3 linked regions of the Arabidopsis thaliana genome follow. The protein of the gene in region 3 binds, or shares a complex with, the protein of the main gene of each other region. Each region holds a gene or a part of one and is shown on either strand. Other genes may lie near its edges.

Evidence for each region.
Region 1: PSRP3/1 (region 3) and EMB3137 share a complex: the UniProt entries of both Arabidopsis thaliana proteins name them as parts of the 30S ribosomal subunit.
Region 2: PSRP3/1 (region 3) and PSRP4 share a complex: the UniProt entries of both Arabidopsis thaliana proteins name them as parts of the 30S ribosomal subunit.

The regions. Positions count from the first base shown.
Region 1 is NC_003076.8:4,616,718-4,623,290, forward strand, and holds EMB3137 (Ribosomal protein S13/S18 family), read right to left. Parts: upstream 2,265-6,573; 5' UTR 2,056-2,264; coding exon 1,939-2,055; intron 1,742-1,938; coding exon 1,517-1,741; coding exon of another isoform or gene 1,472-1,516; exon of another isoform or gene 1,290-1,471; coding exon 1,122-1,289; 3' UTR 706-1,121; downstream 1-705. Other genes in the region: CXE16 (carboxyesterase 16), read left to right, coding at 165-705; AT5G14330 (uncharacterized protein), read right to left, coding at 3,230-3,503, 3,722-3,834. UniProt on the Arabidopsis thaliana protein: Located at the top of the head of the 30S subunit, it contacts several helices of the 16S rRNA.
Region 2 is NC_003071.7:15,976,719-15,982,112, reverse strand, and holds PSRP4 (plastid-specific ribosomal protein 4), read right to left. Parts: upstream 1,266-5,394; 5' UTR 1,166-1,265; coding exon 1,009-1,165; intron 942-1,008; coding exon 877-941; intron 789-876; coding exon 654-788; 3' UTR 501-653; downstream 1-500. Other genes in the region: AT2G38150 (alpha 1,4-glycosyltransferase family protein), read left to right, coding at 1-413; ATMAK3 (Acyl-CoA N-acyltransferases (NAT) superfamily protein), read left to right, coding at 1,968-2,147, 2,247-2,367, 2,507-2,562, 3,259-3,474; AUX1 (Transmembrane amino acid transporter family protein), read right to left, coding at 5,321-5,394.
Region 3 is NC_003070.9:25,754,249-25,762,630, forward strand, and holds PSRP3/1 (Ribosomal protein PSRP-3/Ycf65), read right to left. Parts: upstream 4,164-8,382; 5' UTR 3,922-4,163; coding exon 3,697-3,921; intron 3,621-3,696; coding exon 3,345-3,620; 3' UTR 3,179-3,344; downstream 1-3,178. Other genes in the region: AT1G68580 (Agenet and bromo-adjacent homology (BAH) domain-containing protein), read left to right, coding at 1-501, 572-791, 896-1,383; AT1G68585 (uncharacterized protein), read left to right, coding at 2,663-2,776, 2,856-2,937, 3,024-3,178; AT1G68600 (aluminum activated malate transporter family protein), read left to right, coding at 5,699-6,005, 6,506-6,643, 6,723-6,992, 7,076-7,212, 7,298-7,444, 7,916-8,382. UniProt on the Arabidopsis thaliana protein: Component of the chloroplast ribosome (chloro-ribosome), a dedicated translation machinery responsible for the synthesis of chloroplast genome-encoded proteins, including proteins of the transcription and translation machinery and components of the photosynthetic apparatus.

The DNA.
Region 1 (6,573 bases), on a different chromosome or scaffold from region 3:
AAGATCTTAAGAATAGTTTCATGTTGATCTAGGAGTAACTTGGTACAAAGTCAGGATTCTTTGGACAACTAGTTAGATGAACTAAGATAGCTTATCTTCCATTGATTGCAATCTCACATCAACTTCTGTGTCTCAACCTGTTGCTTCATATGATGTTAAAACAGATGTGTTCTTCTCGGGGTGAGCTGTGGTGGGAACATAGCAGACTATGTAGCTCGGAAAGCAGTGGAAGCTGGGAAACTTCTAGAACCGGTGAAAGTTGTTGCACAGGTTCTAATGTACCCCTTTTTCATTGGAAACAACCCAACACAGTCCGAAATAAAGCTGGCAAACTCTTACTTCTACGATAAGCCTGTCTCTGTTCTAGCCTGGAAACTCTTCTTACCAGAGAAAGAGTTCGACTTTGACCACCCGGCAGCAAACCCACTTGCCCATAACCGCAGTGGACCACCTCTGAAGCTAATGCCTCCAACACTTACAGTAGTAGCTGAGCATGACTGGATGAGAGACCGAGCCATTGCTTATTCAGAAGAGCTTAGAAAGGTAAACGTAGATTCTCCAGTTTTAGAATACAAAGACGCAGTTCATGAGTTTGCTACACTTGATATGCTTCTCAAGACTCCTCAGGCACAGGCCTGCGCCGAAGATATTGCCATTTGGGTCAAGAAATACATTTCACTCCGCGGCCATGAGTTCTCTTACTGAAAATTTTTACCCTGTTATTATTCATTTTCTTCCTTTTTTTTGTGTGATAGCAAGATTTTCTGGGTAGGATTAGAGACAATCCAAGATCGAGTCTTTTGGCAAAAGCTATAAAATTTTATTTTTTGGTTACTTATGTATTCATATGTACGTATTCTGAATAAACCATTTTTGGTTCGACCAAATTTTCAAGTTTGTTCTTGGTTTGTCATCATTCTTGAATGCTGAAATCTTCAACTTCTTTTGTAACTTTATAATGAATGATGAAGATACGGAATAATAATAGCTAAAAAGCCGAAGATAAACTGGAAAGGGCTCAGTTCGAACAAAGGTTTGGGAATTACAAATCACATTTAAACAGAGATGACTAGACAAACTAAAAAGAGTATTACAGAAGAAGAAGGAGATCATGAAGATGATTACTTGGAAACTTTCTTCTTCCCTGCAATAGCAATTTTCTTGCCTTTAAGAGTCCTGCAGTTGTTCTTGGTTCTCTGTCCCCGACATGGCAGCCCTTGGATGTGCCTTACCCCACGGTAACACTGGATCTCCTTCAACCTCTTGATTGCAAGAGCATTGAACCTCCTCTGCACAACATCCACAACACAAATCAATAATTCATTCACAAAGGCCTAAGAACCAAATCAAAACAAGAGGAAACCCAAACTAAAGCAATGAAAACACCAAATAGATAGCAGCCTAAGTTCTTCTCCAATCTTCAAGAAACTGCTCGAGAATGGACTGACAGAAACTGAAACTATGATGCACATTACTCATGTCCTAAAGTGTGTAAATGTAAGGGAAAGTGTATTACCAGATCACCCTCAATCATGTACTTGGAGACTTCATCACGAAGAATGATGAGTTCTTCCTCAGCCATGTCTTTAGTAATCTTGTTCTCCATCTGAAGATCAACAAGAATCTGACGAGCCCTAGTTCGACCAATCCCATGAATGTACTGAAGAGAGTACTCAATTCTCTTATTAGCCGGAATCTCCACTCCACCAACACGAGCACATCTGATGCTTAGACTCTGCTTCTGCATTTCATTACAAAAAAAAAAAAAAACTTTAAAAACACAGAGACAAATTCCCCCAAAAATTGATGGAGTGTTCTATAACCACCCCTAACCCAAAAATTGACGAACAAGAATGAAGTAACACATAAAAAAACATGAAGTCAAGCTCGATAAATTACAACATCATACGCAAGAGAGAGTCCAAGAGAAATGATTACATTGGGAGTGTTTGAAGCTGGGAGGGCAAGAGTGTTGCGAGAGAGAGGATTGGATTTTGCCCAATTGCAAATGAGTGAGAGCGAGTGCGCTACGGGCATCGCAACCATCTGCGCCATTGTTATGTTCTCTTCCTAGGAATTTCGGATTCTGGGAAACTAATTCAGAGGTGACGAAGAAGAAGAAGAAGATGAGCTGAACGGATAAGGCAAACGTCGAATCCAAACGCTTCTCTTGTTTTTGCTCCGTCTCTACTTACTCTATTCAATTAATTGCTTACAAAACTGGCAAAATAAATACTTGTTGGGCTTTGTTTTTTGTTGAGATAGGCTCGCTATTGTATAACACGGCCCAACTAGTGGACTATAACAAAAATGCAAAAACCGAGTGGACTATAATAAAGTGATACAACTATAAAATGAAAAAAAAAATGATTTACAGATATTTTCTTAACAACTAAGATGAATGGTGTGATCAATGACACACATTTGATCAGAAGACGAAAGGCATGAGCCTTGGCTCCATGTGGGCACGTAGCTATTGAGGATAGAGTCATGATAGAAAAAGATTGTATAAAAAAAATGGTAAGTGTATAGATGAAAAGTCAACGGATGAGAATGAGTCTTGTTAACTATTTATCGAGATGGTCGTTCACTTCGTTATTGTCACATGTTGTTGTATTTTAAGGTGTTTGGGGATTTTTTCCATCTTGCATATATATCTGATTCATTGGAGTTGTACACTTGTACTCATGGTTTTGTTGGCAAGTTTACTACAATATTTCGAGTGTTTTCATGATGTTTATTGTTTCGTACTTTACACATGAAACTAGTTTAAAGCTTGTCGTTCTTCTAATAAGGATATCACTCATTGATTTTGACACCAACGTCTGAATAGTGAATACACCATTATTTGTTGAGGCGTACCCATTACTGTCACGTAAGGCCTGCATTTCATTATTTTGTTTAGGCTGACCCAATTTATTTTATATATTTACTTCGGATATTTATCTATTCTATAACCTTAAGATGAATTAGTTGATTTTAAAAAGAAAGTCCACCTTTTCTCAAACGGGCCATTATAATGCCTTGATTAGAAGATTTGGTTCGAAAAAGAGGAAAATATGATTAAGATAATAAAAAAAACATCAAGAGATAAATGTTTTATTATGATAGGAACACAACATCACAATCTTTGAAGAATTAACAAAAAAAGAAGGAATACATGTGAAAATTAAAATAAAATCTCATAGAGAGTAAAACATATTCTGAAGATGAATGGCAACACATCTCATCAGAAGACGAAAGACATAGCAGCGACCAATGCGGTGGCGATGAGCTGAGGGTAGGCGGAGAAAGTGGCGGCACTTGGAGACGGAGCCTTAGCCATGGGTGGCATTGGAGCCATAGCCGGACCATGGTGGTGGGTTCCGTTGTGCGACTCAGCAGTCATGACCATCACGGCCAAGACAATGCAGATGAAGGCGAAGCGGATCAAAGAACTTCTTGGTGCCATTTGAATGTTCTTCTCCTTTTTCTTCTTATTTGGTTTCTTTCTTTGTTGTTCTCTGTATGATCTATCAACAAAGGGGGTCGAATTTATAGAGAGAGAGAGGGGTCCTATAAAAAATGTTTAGTGGGTTAAAAGTCAACGCATGTGAATGAGTCATGATGTTGAGACGACCTAAATTCGTTATAATTTACATGTTGTTTACTTGAATATTTAAAAAAATGGAAAAAAGGACAGAGTGATCATGGTTATGTGTTTGAATTTGTTAGTGGACACCCATTTATATGTTCGTGAATGTTCTGCCGTTCTGGAACAGCTGTTACATAAGAGGGACGTTTCTTGACTAAGCCAAATTGACCCGGTTTGATTAGGGATTGATTCCAATCCATGTTCTGTTGCCGGAGACCAAAGAAAATGGTGTCTTTTGTGAGGCCGATCAGGGGCTTTGGCTCTTGATGAAGTTCAAAAAGAATAGAAATGTTAGCGTTGGTGATAGTTTGATATTTCCAATAAAGCATTCCAACTGTACCAACAAGTTTTAAAGATCAAACATCCGAAAGTACTATACAATCATTCTTGAAACTTGAAAGCAAACCAGTAAAACTTAAAAAGTAACACCATGATTCTTTTAACTAAATTTAGCAAATGTTATTATTAATATGATTATTTATCTGTTTGAAAAAACTGTAATTCTAGTAAACAAACAAATAATAAAAAGAAAATTATTTGATAAAACGGTAGATACAGTATGTTTGCAAAGAAAAAATTAGTTAACGAATGGAAAGGAGAAACTGATATGCTAAACGAATATTCTACGTAACGCTATCCATAACTACAGTTACAATTTTTAGGCCCAATTAGTGACTATATGAAGATTAAGTTGGACCTAAAGAGACAGTGCTTTTTAGTGGGCCTAAATATGATTCTGGTCCCTTGCATTAATAATTTTTCTTACACATCGTAGGCTCCGTATATACTCTTTTTCCCAACGGTCTCTCACGTATTATTTATTGTTTTTGTGATTTTGTCGAGGTCCCTCTCATATACAACAATACTCTTCTATATTACATTTTTCTAAATTTTAGTTCAGTTCAGTGCACCAAAACAAAAACGAATATTTGGTTAGCTGCAATTTTATTTTCTTGATGTACCACACAAAAGTTAAATATATTGAAGTATAGTAAGTTTGTTGACTACCTATAATGTAAGCTATACGGAAAAGAAAGATGTATGTATATATATATACATACACGTCGACTATAAATCAAATATCTAATTTCTTTTAACGTCTAATAAGTAATAATCGATCGGTTACCTAGGTTTCTATAGTACTTTAATGGAAATTGTAATGTTTACATTATCTGTTTATCACATTACATTATATATGAGTCATGGCGGGTTTTTTTTTCTTTGGGTGTTAATTAAGAGTGTGGCATGAAGGGTTAAATATTCAATTAAGGAAAAACTAATGCAATTTGGTTATATAATTTGTTTTCCTAACAGATTTCTAAATTTAGGTTGGTAATTAAACATTATAATAGACTAGGACATATAGCCTAATGTCTTTCAGAATTGATCTATAATTAGATAGATTTCTAATATTTGATCCCTATTTGGATATATGCACATACCTTCAAGTACATGGCGAATATTCCTCCATGCATTAACGCGAAACCCCACTCCGTATTTGGAGTATTTTAATGCAAATTGTTCCTAACCTTCATTTCTTCTAAGCAACTTAATTAGTTCAATATGAGAACCTTATTTCAAAATACTTTAATAAACAAACTAAGAAATCGATATGATTAAACCCTGAAATCTATATAAAATAGATATTCTTGCTATTAAGTATTTACACATATACAGCAGTTAACATATTTGGAACAAAATACAATAGTAAACATATTTGGAGGGAAAATGGTTCCAACAAGTGTAGTTTTCCAATGACATCTAATATCAATCACTTTGCTTATAAATATATTTTTTCACTTACATTTATAATAAATAAGGGGTTTGTCTGATAATTAATATGTATGTAAATTTTCTAACTTTGATAAGTACATAACTCTTTTAAATATCATCACGATAAGAATACGTGAAGATAATGTTTTGGACATTTCAAGGAAATTAAAATCTTATAAATCTTGTATAATGATGTCAAAATTAATAATCTTATGTACATACTAATCGTCGTTAATAGTATACCATTGACGATGCTAGTTCAGTTCTTTTGGCATTCAGCTGACTAGATGAGTTTTTGTTTATTTAACTGAAAATACTTAAATATAATAGCATGACTAGATGAATTCAAACTTGACTTTCTTTATTAAGCAAGTTGCCTAATCATGACGGTGTAGTGCAAACTAACAAATTATGACGTAAAAAGTCGAGTTCCTCAAAATGTTTTTAACAAGAACAAATTATTTACAAATAGAATAATGAAAAAGAGAAGATGCCTTGATGACAGAATAAGCACAAGGCTTTGAAGAGGGGACCGATGAATCCAAACAAATCTCAAATCGTTTCTTTTAACCAAACTTTTAATCAATCAATGAAATTCCTTCAATTACCAATTAAAGTAATATCATATATCATATGGTAATCATAAGCTTAAAATAACAATTTTGCAATAAAGCAAACAAATAATTAATCATTATGGTTCAGTTTTTTAACTCATGAAAGTCATGTTGCCACCATTATCTACGATAAAATAATTAGTCTGTCTTTATAGAAACAACAAAAGATAATTATGCAATGTTCATATCATCATATGCATATATGTACTTAGTTGATTGCATTTAATTTATCTACACCTATTAAATTAAGTATGGCTTTAGTGCAAACTTTGATAGGTAATGAATCATAAGCTCAAAAGAAGTTTGTCCATAATTATTGTAATACAACCTCACACACTTCTCACCAAATCTTTCTTTAATTGTCTCCGCAATCATTATTTACTGCTTCACTTATTACTAGTGTTTTGCTTTAAATTTGGATTTATTTGTCTTTTAGCCTGTAAGTGACCTGTCAAAGGAGAGAATCTTTGCCCTTCCCAACTCACCTCTTATTATTTATAAGTAATGCCCATTACTTGATCCAACGCTCTCTTGTTTATATTTTTGACTAAC
Region 2 (5,394 bases), on a different chromosome or scaffold from region 3:
ACAACGCAGTGATGGTCTTTGACATCTACCATCCGCTAATGCGAGAATTCTTGCAAGAGTATGCCACAACTTTCGACGGAAACAAATGGGGATACAACAGCCCTTACCTAGTCTCTAGAGTTATCAAGAGATTAGGAAACAAACCTGGATACAACAATCTCACAATCTTTTCTCCCGATGCTTTCTATCCAGTAAACTGGATCAAAATCCAAAAGCTTTTCAAGAAACCTGCAACCACAAGAGAAGCAAAATGGGTAGAGAAGACAGTACAGGACATGAACAAAGGGAGTTACATGATACATCTGTGGAACAAAGTCACAAGGAAGATTAAGATTGAAGAAGGAAGTGTAATGCACACTCTCGTCTCCACTCACTGCACAGTCTGCGGAAACATCACAAACTCTCACATTTAAAGATCCAAACAGAGACAGATGATTCATCCATCTGATCTATCTAAGTATATAGATTCTCGTTCTTAGTTTGCTTTACTTTTTCAATGTAAAAGACTCAATGATTCATAAAGAAGCAAACTTTTCATAAAAAGATGAGAACTTTGGAGATGTTTTTAACAACAAAAGAGTCGTAGCATCAAAGCTTTTCAAAAAACAAATTAAAATTACAGTGAGAGACAACAAGTGAAGAATCTCATATTTCTAATTAGAGAAGAGAGACTCGTCGATATCGATTTTGATCTTCTCGTCGTTCTCAAACTTATCTTTCCTCGGTGGTGCTGGAGGAACCGGTACTCTCTCCGGTCCTCTTCCTTTGCTCTTGTTTCTTGGCCTCGCCTGCTTACATAAACCCCAAATTCAAAACCAAAATTGCGAATTTGCAAAGTAAAATTACGAAATCGGAAAGAGAAATTTGATTACTTACATTCCCAAAAGAGTGATTGAAACGCTTTCCTTTAGCTGTTTTCCGGTCACCTCTGCCACAGTACACTGCGAACACCGGAAAAGTTACGCCATTGACGAATTAAGAGAGAGTTAGATAAGAGAGGGAGATTACCGAGTGGAATTGAGCTGGATGAGGAAGTGGAGAGAGAGAATTGATGAGTGAAGCAAGAGAGAGAGACACCGGCAGTTTCAGAGTGAGAAGATGATAACCGTGAGGAAGGTAATGCGACGGTGACTCGCGGAGGAGCTCCGAGTATAAGCGACGCCATCGCCGTGTGCTGTTTTCGAATTTGTTCGAAGAAGAAGATCCAGAAGAAGATAAGGCAGTGAGAGTAGAAAAACGATTTTAGGATAGGCTTTTAATTATCTTTTCATATTTGGGCTTTAATTTCAATTGGGCTTATTTTAAAGCCCAAATATATCTAAACCCTACACATGCTTGTCACGTGTGTAATCGACCTTGTTCTTGTTCTTGTTCTTGTTCTTGTTCTTCTTCGTCTTCTCTTCGGAGCTTTTTTCTTCAGATATCACCCAGATCGTAACTTTTGATCTTCGAATTTCACAAAGCTCAAACTTTTGGTAAGTATTCTTATCATCTCATTGATCTTGGGTTTCTAAAAAGTTTCAATTTTTATAATCACATCTCTTTCTAAATCTCTCATTACTTGGTATTTAAAATCTGTGTGTGTTTTTTTCATTCTTATGCTTCACAGGATTCTTTACTAATCCTATTGTCACATAACATCGGTAAGCTCTCTTTTTTCTGAACTCTCAAATCTTCTATAGCTCGCTTTAGCCAAAGTCGTTTGCTTTAGTAGAGTGTTATAGATTCTGCTTCAGCTGTTTATTTGAGGCTTTGAGCAATCTGAGTTTGTTATGAAAACATTGAACTTTCAATTCTGAAACAATCACTCAACTTCGATTCACAGAAAATGATTTATATTCTCTAACTTTGCATTATGTGTTTCATCACTTCCTATAGGAACAAGATCATCAATGTATAAACAACTGATCAGAAGTTCATATTTCTCTTTGTAAGTATACAATTCGGGATCTTGATCACTTCTTGCAATGGAGAAAGAGATGGAAGATAAAGAAGAATTCGATGAGGGTGAGATTGAGTACACGAGTTATGCTGGTGAGCATCATCTGCCATTGATTATGTCTCTTGTTGACCAAGAACTTAGTGAACCTTACTCCATCTTTACTTACCGGTACTTCGTCTACCTCTGGCCGCAGCTATGCTTCCTGGTATTTTGACACTCAGCTTTCGATTATCGTTGCTTTACCCTCATGATACTTATGTTTTGATGGATTTATGAGTAGCATTTGTTTTGTTTCTTTTAATAGGCCTTTCACAAAGGTAAATGCGTAGGAACCATAGTCTGTAAGATGGGGGATCATCGACAGACTTTCAGAGGGTACATCGCTATGTTGGTTGTGATTAAACCATATCGTGGCCGAGGCATAGGTAATACTTGAGCTAGTGCTTCCTAACTTCTTACAGAATCAGATTTTGACTGTGGGAGTAGTGTTTGATCTACTGCAAATACATGCCTCTCTTAAGGTTCGATAATTTTGTGTGCTGACTTGTCATTGTTTTTTTACAGCCTCAGAGCTTGTCACAAGAGCGATAAAAGCGATGATGGAATCAGGCTGTGAAGAGGTATGCTGTTCTTGCATTCTCACTTCTCTCTTTATTCCCACTTTGGAGAACTTAGATATTTGGTAGCACTAGAGTGATATCCTTTCCTGGTAGTATAAATGTAGATAAGACCTTATGAACCACCTTTTCCGGAAGGTTATAAGTCCATTACATGTCCTGAAATAGTGCCTCCTTTTTATCTACTAGAATAGAATTTCATAGCTGAGGTGATGTAGCTGCCTTTAATCATTGCAAGTATACCTATTGCTTTTGATTGTTTAGCTAACTGTGTGTGTAAGTTTAGTTCCACGTATAAAAGTAGTTAATCATACTCCTAAGAGTTGGAACTTTTCGATATTCGTTTAGTTACTAATTTTGTAGTGGAAATCAAAATCCCAGTCTCTCACTTAGTATACATATGTTGTATAAGTCTTGTATGTAGTCCATGACTCTTTATAGTCACACGCATTGGAATGTAACTGATAGTAATATAAAATAAGAAATCCCTGTCTCCCACTTACTAATTGCGTATTCGACGAATCATTTTCTGTTGTATGTGTGATCTCTTAACTGTAATCTCAGTAGTAAATAGATTGGAAAAAGAACCTCGTGATTGGCATTTGCTCTTCAAGTTCCTCATAATCAAGCCTGATTACAACATGAGAGTATGGTTGTCTGGTTATGCAATCTAATTAATGTAAAGATGTATGGCTGAAGGTAACTCTGGAGGCAGAAGTGAGTAACAAAGGAGCATTAGCACTATATGGGCGACTCGGGTTTATAAGAGCCAAACGGCTATACCACTATTACTTGAATGGGATGGATGCTTTTCGCCTGAAGCTCTTGTTCCCTAAGCCTCGTGTACCTCAAATACCTTCTCAAGTTCAAACCCAACAAGAGTATGAGACCTTTCCTAGGCCTCGTGTACCTTAAGGCCATGAACGAAGATGTGTGTTTCTTCAATGTATTCTAAATCCTGAACATGCTAAGACTATGTTCTCTTTCGTATGAAGAAATATTATGTGTTGGTACAATTCTAGTCCCATGTTTATGAAGTATTCTCGACTGGAGTAAGCGATTAATCTGGACGTTTCAACGGTCTTGTGTGTCTACAGAAACAATTTAGCATATTCATATCACTTTGTGGTGTGCGTATATACGTTTTTAAGGTCTCTCAAACTTGGTTGATGATTGGAAACAAAGATCTAAATGTTGTTACAAATTCATATAACCACTTAACTTAACCTAATCGTCTCAGGCTACTCCTGACTTCGAGTTAAGTGGATGATATAGAAATCGAGATGTGAAGTGATTTTCAGCCATCAAAATTTTCAAACAGCTCTATATACCTCAAAAGAAATCCAAGATGACAAAAAATTGATTTAAGGCCAAAGGAGAGAAAGATGCCAGTCAAATGTTATGAAAAGACATGCTTGAATAATTGGTATGAGATATTTTATGAAATACTTTTATTGCATACCGTATTTTACTATAAAACAATTTTCTTTTCACAAACACAACCATCTTAGATTTATCCATGTTAGCCGAGATTTTTTTTGTATCCAGATAGTCCACTTTACAAAAAAAAAAAAGTCTAATATAAAGAAGAAGAAAAGCCTCAAATGTAGTTGCAAAACTCACATGGCCTAAATCAGAACAAATTAAAGACGATTCACCACTCGCCACATAATAGTTTATTGACAATTTGAACCCACTCGTTACCAAGGGTCACTAACCAAACGTTACCAAGGGTCCTACTCCATATCGCATAATATGACTCACATTCACTTCTTCTTTTCTCTTTAACGATTTTATGCTATTAGAAGAAACATTTTTGCAAAGTTCTTTTTTATTTTGACCCCCAACAAAAAAAAAGTCAGATGGAAAGTACAAGAATCGGACTCTGGATTCAAACGAGAATATTAGTTAATAATTTTACATATATAGTTATAATCTTTGGGGGCAAAGTACATGTGAAAGCAGAGCATATGATAAGGGGTAAACGATTGAGTACGAATGGAACGAACACATGCCATATTTAATATGAGGGACAGGAACGGTCCTCTGATCCATTCTTTTGATCAGAGAGAAGATGAAGAGTGTCAAGTAAATAATGGCACGTGACTCGGACGAAGTATCCACGTGCGTCCTCTCCCCACACCCATGTGGCCCATAGGATATATGACCGGCTCCGTCGGTCCAACTTGTCCATGTTCCCCTATTTAATTTTTAAACACACCCTGCCGTTAAATCAAATTTTCCAAATAAATTAAAGTGTTATTTCAAAATTTTAATGTAAACTTAGTAGTATTGTCGCTGTGCTATGATCAAAACTGTATAATTAAAAGATCTAATAGGATCCTAAAGAATTATCTAGTATCGGAAGATATTGTTCATGGTAAAATAGTTTATATAAGTCTAATTAGGATAAATGTATAAGATAAGAATTGTTTTTTGTTACTAAAGACAAGTAAAAGGAGAGAAGACGATACATTTTCTTAGCCTATTGTTTTAACAATACCAAATTAAGAAATCACACACTACATATTATCGACTATTCAATTTTAAAAAAAAAACTAAGGAGTGAAAACAAAAATACAAAACCCCAAAAGAGAAAAAAATAATTAAGAGCTTAGCACGCATTTAAAGGGGTGTGTAAAAAGTACACTATTTTCGTGACTTTTACTCCCTTCACGTATACGAACACAAAACACAAAAGAAGAACAAATAATTTTAAGAACCCTCCACAAACGCATTAGAAGAACCCTGACTCGATCTCTCAAAGACGGTGGTGTAAAGCGGAGACCGGGGCATGTGCGGCGGCTGCAGCTGGTTTACATTGGTAACACTTGG
Region 3 (8,382 bases):
GTAGCTTTCTTCTGCCAGAAATTATATGGAGATGATGGTTTAAAGCCGTATGACATTACACAACTAGAAGGTTACTGGAGACAAGAAATGCTTAGATACTTGAATGTATCTATTTTAAAATCATTTGAAGGTGCTCAAGCCCCTGGTACTGACCCAGGATTAAAAGCTCCATTGGTTGGTTGTGTTGGGATTAGATCAAGGAAAAGACGCCGTCCTAGTCCTGTTGGTACTTTGAATGTATCATACGCAGGTGACATGAAAGGTGACTGCAAATCTAGTCCAGATTCTGTTTTGGCTGTTACAGATGCTTCTATATTCAAGGGTGACGAAGATGGTTCTTCCCATCACATTAAAAAGGGTTCACTTATTGAAGTTCTTTCTGAAGATAGTGGCATCAGAGGTTGTTGGTTTAAGGCTCTGGTATTAAAGAAACACAAAGATAAGGTTAAGGTCCAGTACCAAGATATTCAGGATGCAGACGATGAATCTAAAAAGCTAGAGGTACACATTTTAAAACCCTTGCTTTGGTTTCGTACCTACTGCCCAGTTTGATAACATGTTTTTGTTGCAGGAATGGATTTTGACATCTCGGGTTGCTGCTGGTGATCATCTGGGGGATCTTAGAATCAAAGGACGGAAAGTAGTAAGACCAATGCTGAAGCCCAGCAAAGAAAATGATGTATGTGTCATCGGGGTTGGTATGCCTGTGGATGTGTGGTGGTGTGATGGATGGTGGGAAGGGATCGTGGTGCAGGAAGTTTCTGAAGAGAAATTTGAAGTTTACTTGCCAGGTGAGTTAAGACACCTCTGAATGCAAATTTTTATTGCAGTTGAAGATCTATCTATATACTATTTTGTGTGACTAATTATTGTTGTTTTGGCTGTTTTCTCTCAGGCGAAAAGAAAATGTCTGCTTTCCATCGTAATGACCTCAGACAATCTCGGGAATGGTTGGATGATGAGTGGCTAAACATAAGATCAAGATCTGATATTGTGAGTTCTGTCCTATCTTTGACGAAGAAAAAAGAGATGGAGGTGAAACATGATGAGAAGTCGTCTGATGTTGGTGTTTGTAATGGTAGGATGTCACCAAAGACTGAGGCTAAACGCACCATCTCTCTTCCAGTAGCTACAACCAAAAAGTCACTACCTAAGCGACCAATTCCAGATCTTCTAAAAGATGTCCTAGTCACTTCTGACTTAAAGTGGAAAAAATCATCGAGGAAGCGGAATCGAGTTGTCAGTTGCTGTCCACACGATCCTAGCTTGAATGATGGTTTCTCTAGTGAAAGATCTTTGGATTGTGAGAACTGTAAGTTCATGGAAGATACTTTTGGCTCTTCAGATGGACAGCATTTGACAGGTCTATTAATGTCGAGATGATCATCAGCTTGGACCTAGTTACTTTTCTTCTTGTGAGGTACATATTACCCTGATGGGCATCTGCTCAATGCGATTTTGGGTTTTAAGATTACTGGTAACTCGCAAGCTTTCTTGGGATGGATTATAGGATTAGCTCGTAATGGCATCCAAATTCGTTTGTGTACTTATGTTGTGACAGTAGGGCATAGTGCTTTAATTCAATCAGCAAAATTTTGGATGCAGTAGAAGTAGGTAATAATAACATTACCTCGCTAGTGTTTTAGGCTTAATCAGTGTTTTTCTCTTAGAATTAAGTTATCATTTTACTCTCTTTAGCATAGAGATGATTCGTTTTCTTTTTGGTCTGGTGGGATCTTTCTTTTCATGTAACCTATGTAACATTAAATAAAATTATCTTGTTACCTTGATCTCAACTTCATTGTCTATATGATACGTACCTTTCTTACTTGTTGAATGTTATGAATAGCTTCTGCATAATTTGATACTCGAAGTTGAGGACACTTGATTATCTTAATGGCACGTAAGTTAAGTATGTCCATGTCCATGTGCCCATAGGGTTTTGTTTTGTGCAGCATTCCAAAGGGGACCAACAAATAAAATTGATGCTCTTTGGTTGTTAGTTGTAACTAGCTGGTAACAATTGATGTTTTCTGGAATCGTCCAACAAGTTTTGTTATCCATAGTAAGAGCGCTTGTTATAAACCACTAACAGTGATGAAAGTTGAGTGTCTTATCTTACACCATTTTAAACTTTTACCTATTATCATCTCTTGTTGTGCTATAGATGATTGGCTTACCAAAAGGTAGGGTAAGGTGAAAAAGGTAAGCTATTTAAATTCGTTTAAGACCAAGTCAGAATCCTCCAACTTGAATGATTTTGGTGGGGTTGCATTTTGGTGAGTGAAGCATCTTTTTCAAACAATGTAGAGGAAATAAAGAGGAGCCAAAAGAACTTGACTTTCTTACTCAGATTAATGGACACTAAGTCATGGATCCAAAGCATATATTATATCTCTATTGTGTGTTAACATGTCTCTTGAGTCTCTAAACTTAGTTTTCTCCAAAGATTAAAGCAAAAGCAAAGATGGGCTTCCTCTGTCACTAGTTTTGCTAACTCATCCTTTTCGGATAGCGACACTCTTCGTTTCCCACTCTTGGTTTGGTGGTTTCTTTAGGATTCTAGATTTTTGTTTTACTTATCTTTCCTTGTACAAGAGACTGTTTCTATAGGATTCTTCATTTCCTGTTTTATCTATCTTCTCTGTGCAACGAGAGTGTCATGGCTACTCTGTCTCAAATCGTCGAGGAGGAACTTGAACCATCACTAAGAAGCAAGCTTTCAAGAACAAGTGAAACCAGTCTCGCTTCTGTCGCATCGTTATCCATGCCACTTGTTCGTTACTCTCTTAACACTTTTGTCTTAGAATGATTCAACTCTGTGGATTCTTTTAATTGATCTTGTGTGTTATCAGATTCAGGAGATTGTTCTATCAGCAGACATCAGATGTAGTGACTGCCAAGAGAAAGTCGCCGACATAATGGCGAGGATGATCGGTGAGTATATAGCTTACTTACTTCCGAGATGAGACACTTTTTTGTTCTTTCCTCTCACGCTTGTTTCCTCTGTTTTCTTGGAGCAGAAACATATTCAATATTGGTGAGTGTGTTGGAGAAGAAAGTGACACTAACGTGTACATATTCCGGTGACCGGAGAGTCTCTAAATCCTATGGTGAAGCTCTTCTCTGCAAAATCTCAACCATCAAGCGTTTGATATGTCCTTCAAGGAAACAATAACTCAGAGTTGCTTGATGTTTGCTTTTATTATCATTTTCTCTTTCCAATAAAATGAATCTTTTATGTCGAATGTGATTGGATATTGTTTAGATAAACAAAAAACTCTCAATAGCAATAATAATCATAGACAAAGTGAATTCTTGAAATGCAGAAATCAAAAAAGAGATTATTGAGAAGTTAAATTGCCGCCACTTTGTTGCCAGAGATTGATGATATCAGTGGCTTGGTTTAGAAGAATGATCATCTTCTTCTGAGAGATCCATGGTTTAGCTTCAAGAGTAGACTTAAGCTCTTCCCAAGCATCTTTCCTAGGCCAGAAGAAGTAAGGACTAAGTGGGATTGTGCCATGTCCAGGTACATGTTGGTCCAATCCTAATCCTATGTTCTTCTCCATCCACACAAACTTGAGTACCACTCTTGATTTCTCATCTGGCTTCACCACCTAACACAAACAACAAAGATTTGTGGGTTTTGTAACACAAGAGACAAGAAGATGAAGAAGAATATGTTGTTTTTACCTTTATTGTTTGTTGTGGAGTGTTGTCGGAAGTATCAATTCCGGTGACTGTTTCAGCGGTGAGTGTCTCTGGAGCTGCTAGAGTTATGATTTTCCGTTTTACAGAGATGGGTTTGGTTGTTTGGGTATGGAACAATGGAGGAGAAGCAGTGATGGAGAGTTTTGGATGTTGAGAGATGAAAGAAGAGCAGAGGGAAGTAGAAGAGAGTGCCATTGATGACATCATTTTTGTGTTTTCTCAGAGAACAATGGAGATTTTGTGAGAATATGGATAAGGAAGATATGGTCACATTTTTGGGTGGAGTTTCAAAGTAGTTTGACTATCAAATTTATGGGCTTTGTTGACTTGGCCCATCATTAAATGGGTCAAGAATACAGAGTTTATTATAAGCCCATGAATACAAACCTGAAGCTTTGAGAAGTAGACTTTTAAAAATACAGACTCTGTTTCAAGTATTTTCGAGGGACTAATTCAAAGATCTCAACATATAAGTATTAATCATATCATATTTAATTCGAATGACATTTGACAGCCACAAGTATTTATACAAAAATTAAAAACCTCATCTTTGTTTAGTGTTCATGATTTGATCAAAGTCAATAAATTTTTTTGTGTGAAATAAATTTTTGTATTAATCAAAACACAATTTTTAACAAAATATAATTATCGATATTGTACGCTGCAAGATGTCCTCAATTTGTTTTATTTATTTATCAAAAACAAATAATTGTTGAGAAAGTGGCCTTTACATTATATATGTCACATGATTCTTTTTACATTATGTCACATGATTCATCTTAAAAAATCGTCTTCTTTATTTTCACAGGTTTGCTGAGGCCAAAGAAGAGTCTTTCTTTGGACTTGAAGTAGCACTGGATAGATGAGATGAGAAAGCCTTTAAGGAGAAAGACACCATGATGGTCATTCATGAACATCATTCGATGAGTATATATAGTAAAAGTTTGAAATACTTCTTACATCGTAGTTATTATATAATGTGCACACGATATTTTTTATTTTCAGCATACAATAATTGGATAAAACAATCAAACTCACCCAAAATACATAAATAATTGTTGTTTCTCAAAAAAAAGTAGGAAAAATCTCATGTGAGGGTGGGTACACTGTGTAGGGTAGGGCTTGGCTTTTGAGCATAGTTAGGAAGTAGTAAGATGCGATGCGGTAGTAAGTAGGAGTTTCAAAATGTCACATTCACACAAGTCACGACCATGAAACTTGTCGTCTCTTTGATACTTGCAACTTCTCCAAAACTGTGGGTCTGTAATTCAATTATTAGAGTCTTGAACTTGAAGAGACTTTAAGATATGTGTGTAAATTTGTTCACCGTCACATTATTGGTCCATTTACATTACACACGTCCACTATAGTTAATTCTCAGGTTGTTTATCCATAGATATCTGTTGTTATTTCTGCGACACTTTTACTGGTCACAATGAATTATGTTGATGTTTAGATTCAACAAAAAAACTTACTAAATCGGGTAACTATGAAAAAATATTATGTAGCTGAGCCAAAAAGGTAAAGTCTACAGTTTAAGAAACATTAACACATTGAACAGAAATTAAGAAATAATATAATTCTATTTTTAATTTTTTTACTGAATAACTAATAGTCACAAAAAATCATATTACGGCCTTACCGGTCCATTTATGCATTACTGGTCCACAAATGTAAATTCTCACGTTTTAAATTCCATCTGTTTCAAAAAATTTGGACACTTTTGGTGGTTAATATGTTAATGATTAGATTTCAACCAAAAACATCAAAGTTATAAATCGGACAATTATTAAAATTTGTAATGTAGATGCACCAAATTGTAAATTTTTTAAAAAAACTTGATTATTTAGAGATGATGAATCGAAGGCATGCATTAATTGCGTAGTACAAAACAAATCTTGATAAATAGATAAATAAACATCTTTCTATTCGTAAGGACGACAAGAATCTCTCAGGTTCTGTAGAATTGTCAGAATCATTTCTAATGGGAGGTAAAATGGGATCAGTACCGGAGCAAAACACAGAGAAGCTTCTCTGGCAGTCAAGCGACGTCGCTGATAGCCGTGACTCCAAGTTCCGGTGTTGCTCGTGGAGGGCTCTCTACGAGGCTCCGGCGAAGTTGTACGCGCTGGGACATTCTGATCGTAGGAAACTTTACTTCTCCATCAAGATGGGAATTGCTTTGGCACTCTGTTCTTTCGTCATCTTTCTCAAAGAGCCGCTTCAAGATGCTAGTAAATTCGCAGTTTGGGCGATTCTCACCGTCGTTCTCATTTTCGAGTATTACGTCGGTATTGATTCTTAACTCATAGCCTAGTTTATGATCCTTTGATTGGATCTTTGAGTTTTGTTTTTATGTTTTGTTGGAATCTTGAACTCAAGACACTTGCGCATGTGAAGCAAATCTAGTAAAGATTCTTTTAATCCTAAGACTGTTCCTTTTTTTGGATTCCATCTTTCATTTTGATGGGTTCGGATTTACTTATTGAGTTACATTTTACTGTATTATTCACATTTTCAGACCAACTCTTATACTTTCTTTGCTTGTTTGTTACTTGGATTGAATATTTTTCACTGTTTTCGAGTTTTCTGTTTATGGAATCCATTTGATGGAACTAAAGACATCAATTGGTTGATTGTATAATCCATCTTTTTGTATAAGTGGATTCAAAGATTTTTTCTATTTTCTCTGTTCAGATTTACTTATTGACTTTGCATTTTACTGTTTTATTTACATTTTCAGATCAATTATTCTCATACTTATTGAGTCACTCTTATGTTCAATTTTCAGGAGCAACTTTGGTTAAAGGATTCAATAGAGCATTAGGCACAATGTTAGCTGGAGGACTTGCTCTCGGCGTCGCGCAGCTCTCTGTTTTAGCAGGAGAGTTTGAAGAAGTCATCATCGTAATCTGCATATTCCTTGCAGGTTTGCAACATTTATATCGCCACAATTTCATTACACACAATGAGGATACTAACATTTAATTTTTCTTTGTCTATGTCAGGTTTTGGTGCTAGTTATTTGAAACTATACGCGTCCATGAAACCATACGAATACGCATTCAGAGTGTTCAAGTTGACATATTGTATCGTTCTTGTTTCCGGGAACAACTCAAGAGACTTCTTAAGCACTGCTTATTACAGGATTTTGCTTATTGGTCTTGGTGCAACCATTTGTTTGCTTGTGAATGTATTTTTATTTCCGATATGGGCCGGAGAAGATCTCCATAAACTGGTGGCTAAAAACTTCAAGAATGTTGCAAATTCCCTAGAAGGTTAGATAAAACATAATCTGTTATAACATGGTTAGCTTATTATTTCAATGTCCCTTATTTCAGGTTTTTGTATTTATCCTTAGGATGTGTTAATGGTTACTTGCAATGTGTCGAATACGAGAGAATACCGTCGAAGATACTCACGTACCAAGCTTCAGATGATCCATTATACAGCGGGTACAGATCCGCTGTTCAATCTACAAGCCAAGAAGATTCTTTGGTATGTTTTACGCATCGTGGAGACACATCTTTAAAATCCGGATTATGGTGATACCTATAGCATTAAAAGAGCTCTGTTTTCGCAGCTTGATTTCGCTATATGGGAGCCTCCACATGGACCTTACAAAACGTTTAACCATCCTTGGAAAAACTATGTCAAACTTAGTGGTGCAGTGAGGCATTGCGCGTTCACAGTCATGGCAATGCATGGATGCATTCTTTCAGAAATACAGGTTCCTTGTTAAACTAATTCATTAAACAATTTGTTTTGTGTTATTAGTTATTACTCTGCTCCATTTTGCTACTAAGGTGAATGATTAATAGAAGAGTATACATAACTCGTTGAGTGTGTATCGTCATAAATGTCTAGCATGTGAAGAAAAGAAAAGATGATGGCACATGAATTGAATAACCGGGGGAAAAAATGTCTAATCCGTTTTGTTATAGGTGTCATAACTGTTATAGCATACATGTGTGAAGAAATCTAAAAGTTGTAATTGTAGGCCCTTTTCAAAAACATATTAATGAAAAGGTACTTAATGAGATAAAATAGCTTTTAGGTCCTCATATTTAGTTTTCTAAAATAAATTTAGCTCTTTATATATATCAGGTTTTCAGCATTATAAAAAGTTGATGTACTTGGCTTGTAAGTTACTATGTTAGATATAATGGTTCAATTATTGTTTGGTGAAATGTTATGGCAGGCATCTCCAGAGAAAAGACATGTTTTCAGTAACGAGCTTCGGAGAGTTGGTAATGAAGGAGCAAAAGTATTACGTTTGTTTGGAGAAAAAGTAGAGAAAATGGAGAAGCTAAGCCTAAGCCTAGGAGAGATTCTGAAAGACGTTCAACGTGCAGCTGAGGCACTACAAATGAAAATAGATAGTAAATCATATCTTCTTGTCAACTCAGAAAGCTGGGCAGCTATTAAAGAGCAAGCTGAAGCGGAAGAAGCTCGAGAAAACGACCAAGAAGCCAAAGACGACGAGACCAAAGTGATCAAATCCTTAAGCCAGATTTGGGATACTAACAACAACAACAACCATCAGAGTAATGATCAATCTCAGCATTGGATGTCAACAGAGAGTATGATGTTAAAGAACCGAGAGATGTGGCCAAGTATGTCCTTCATTGATGGTACTGTGGTGAATGAGATAGAATGTAAAGTATA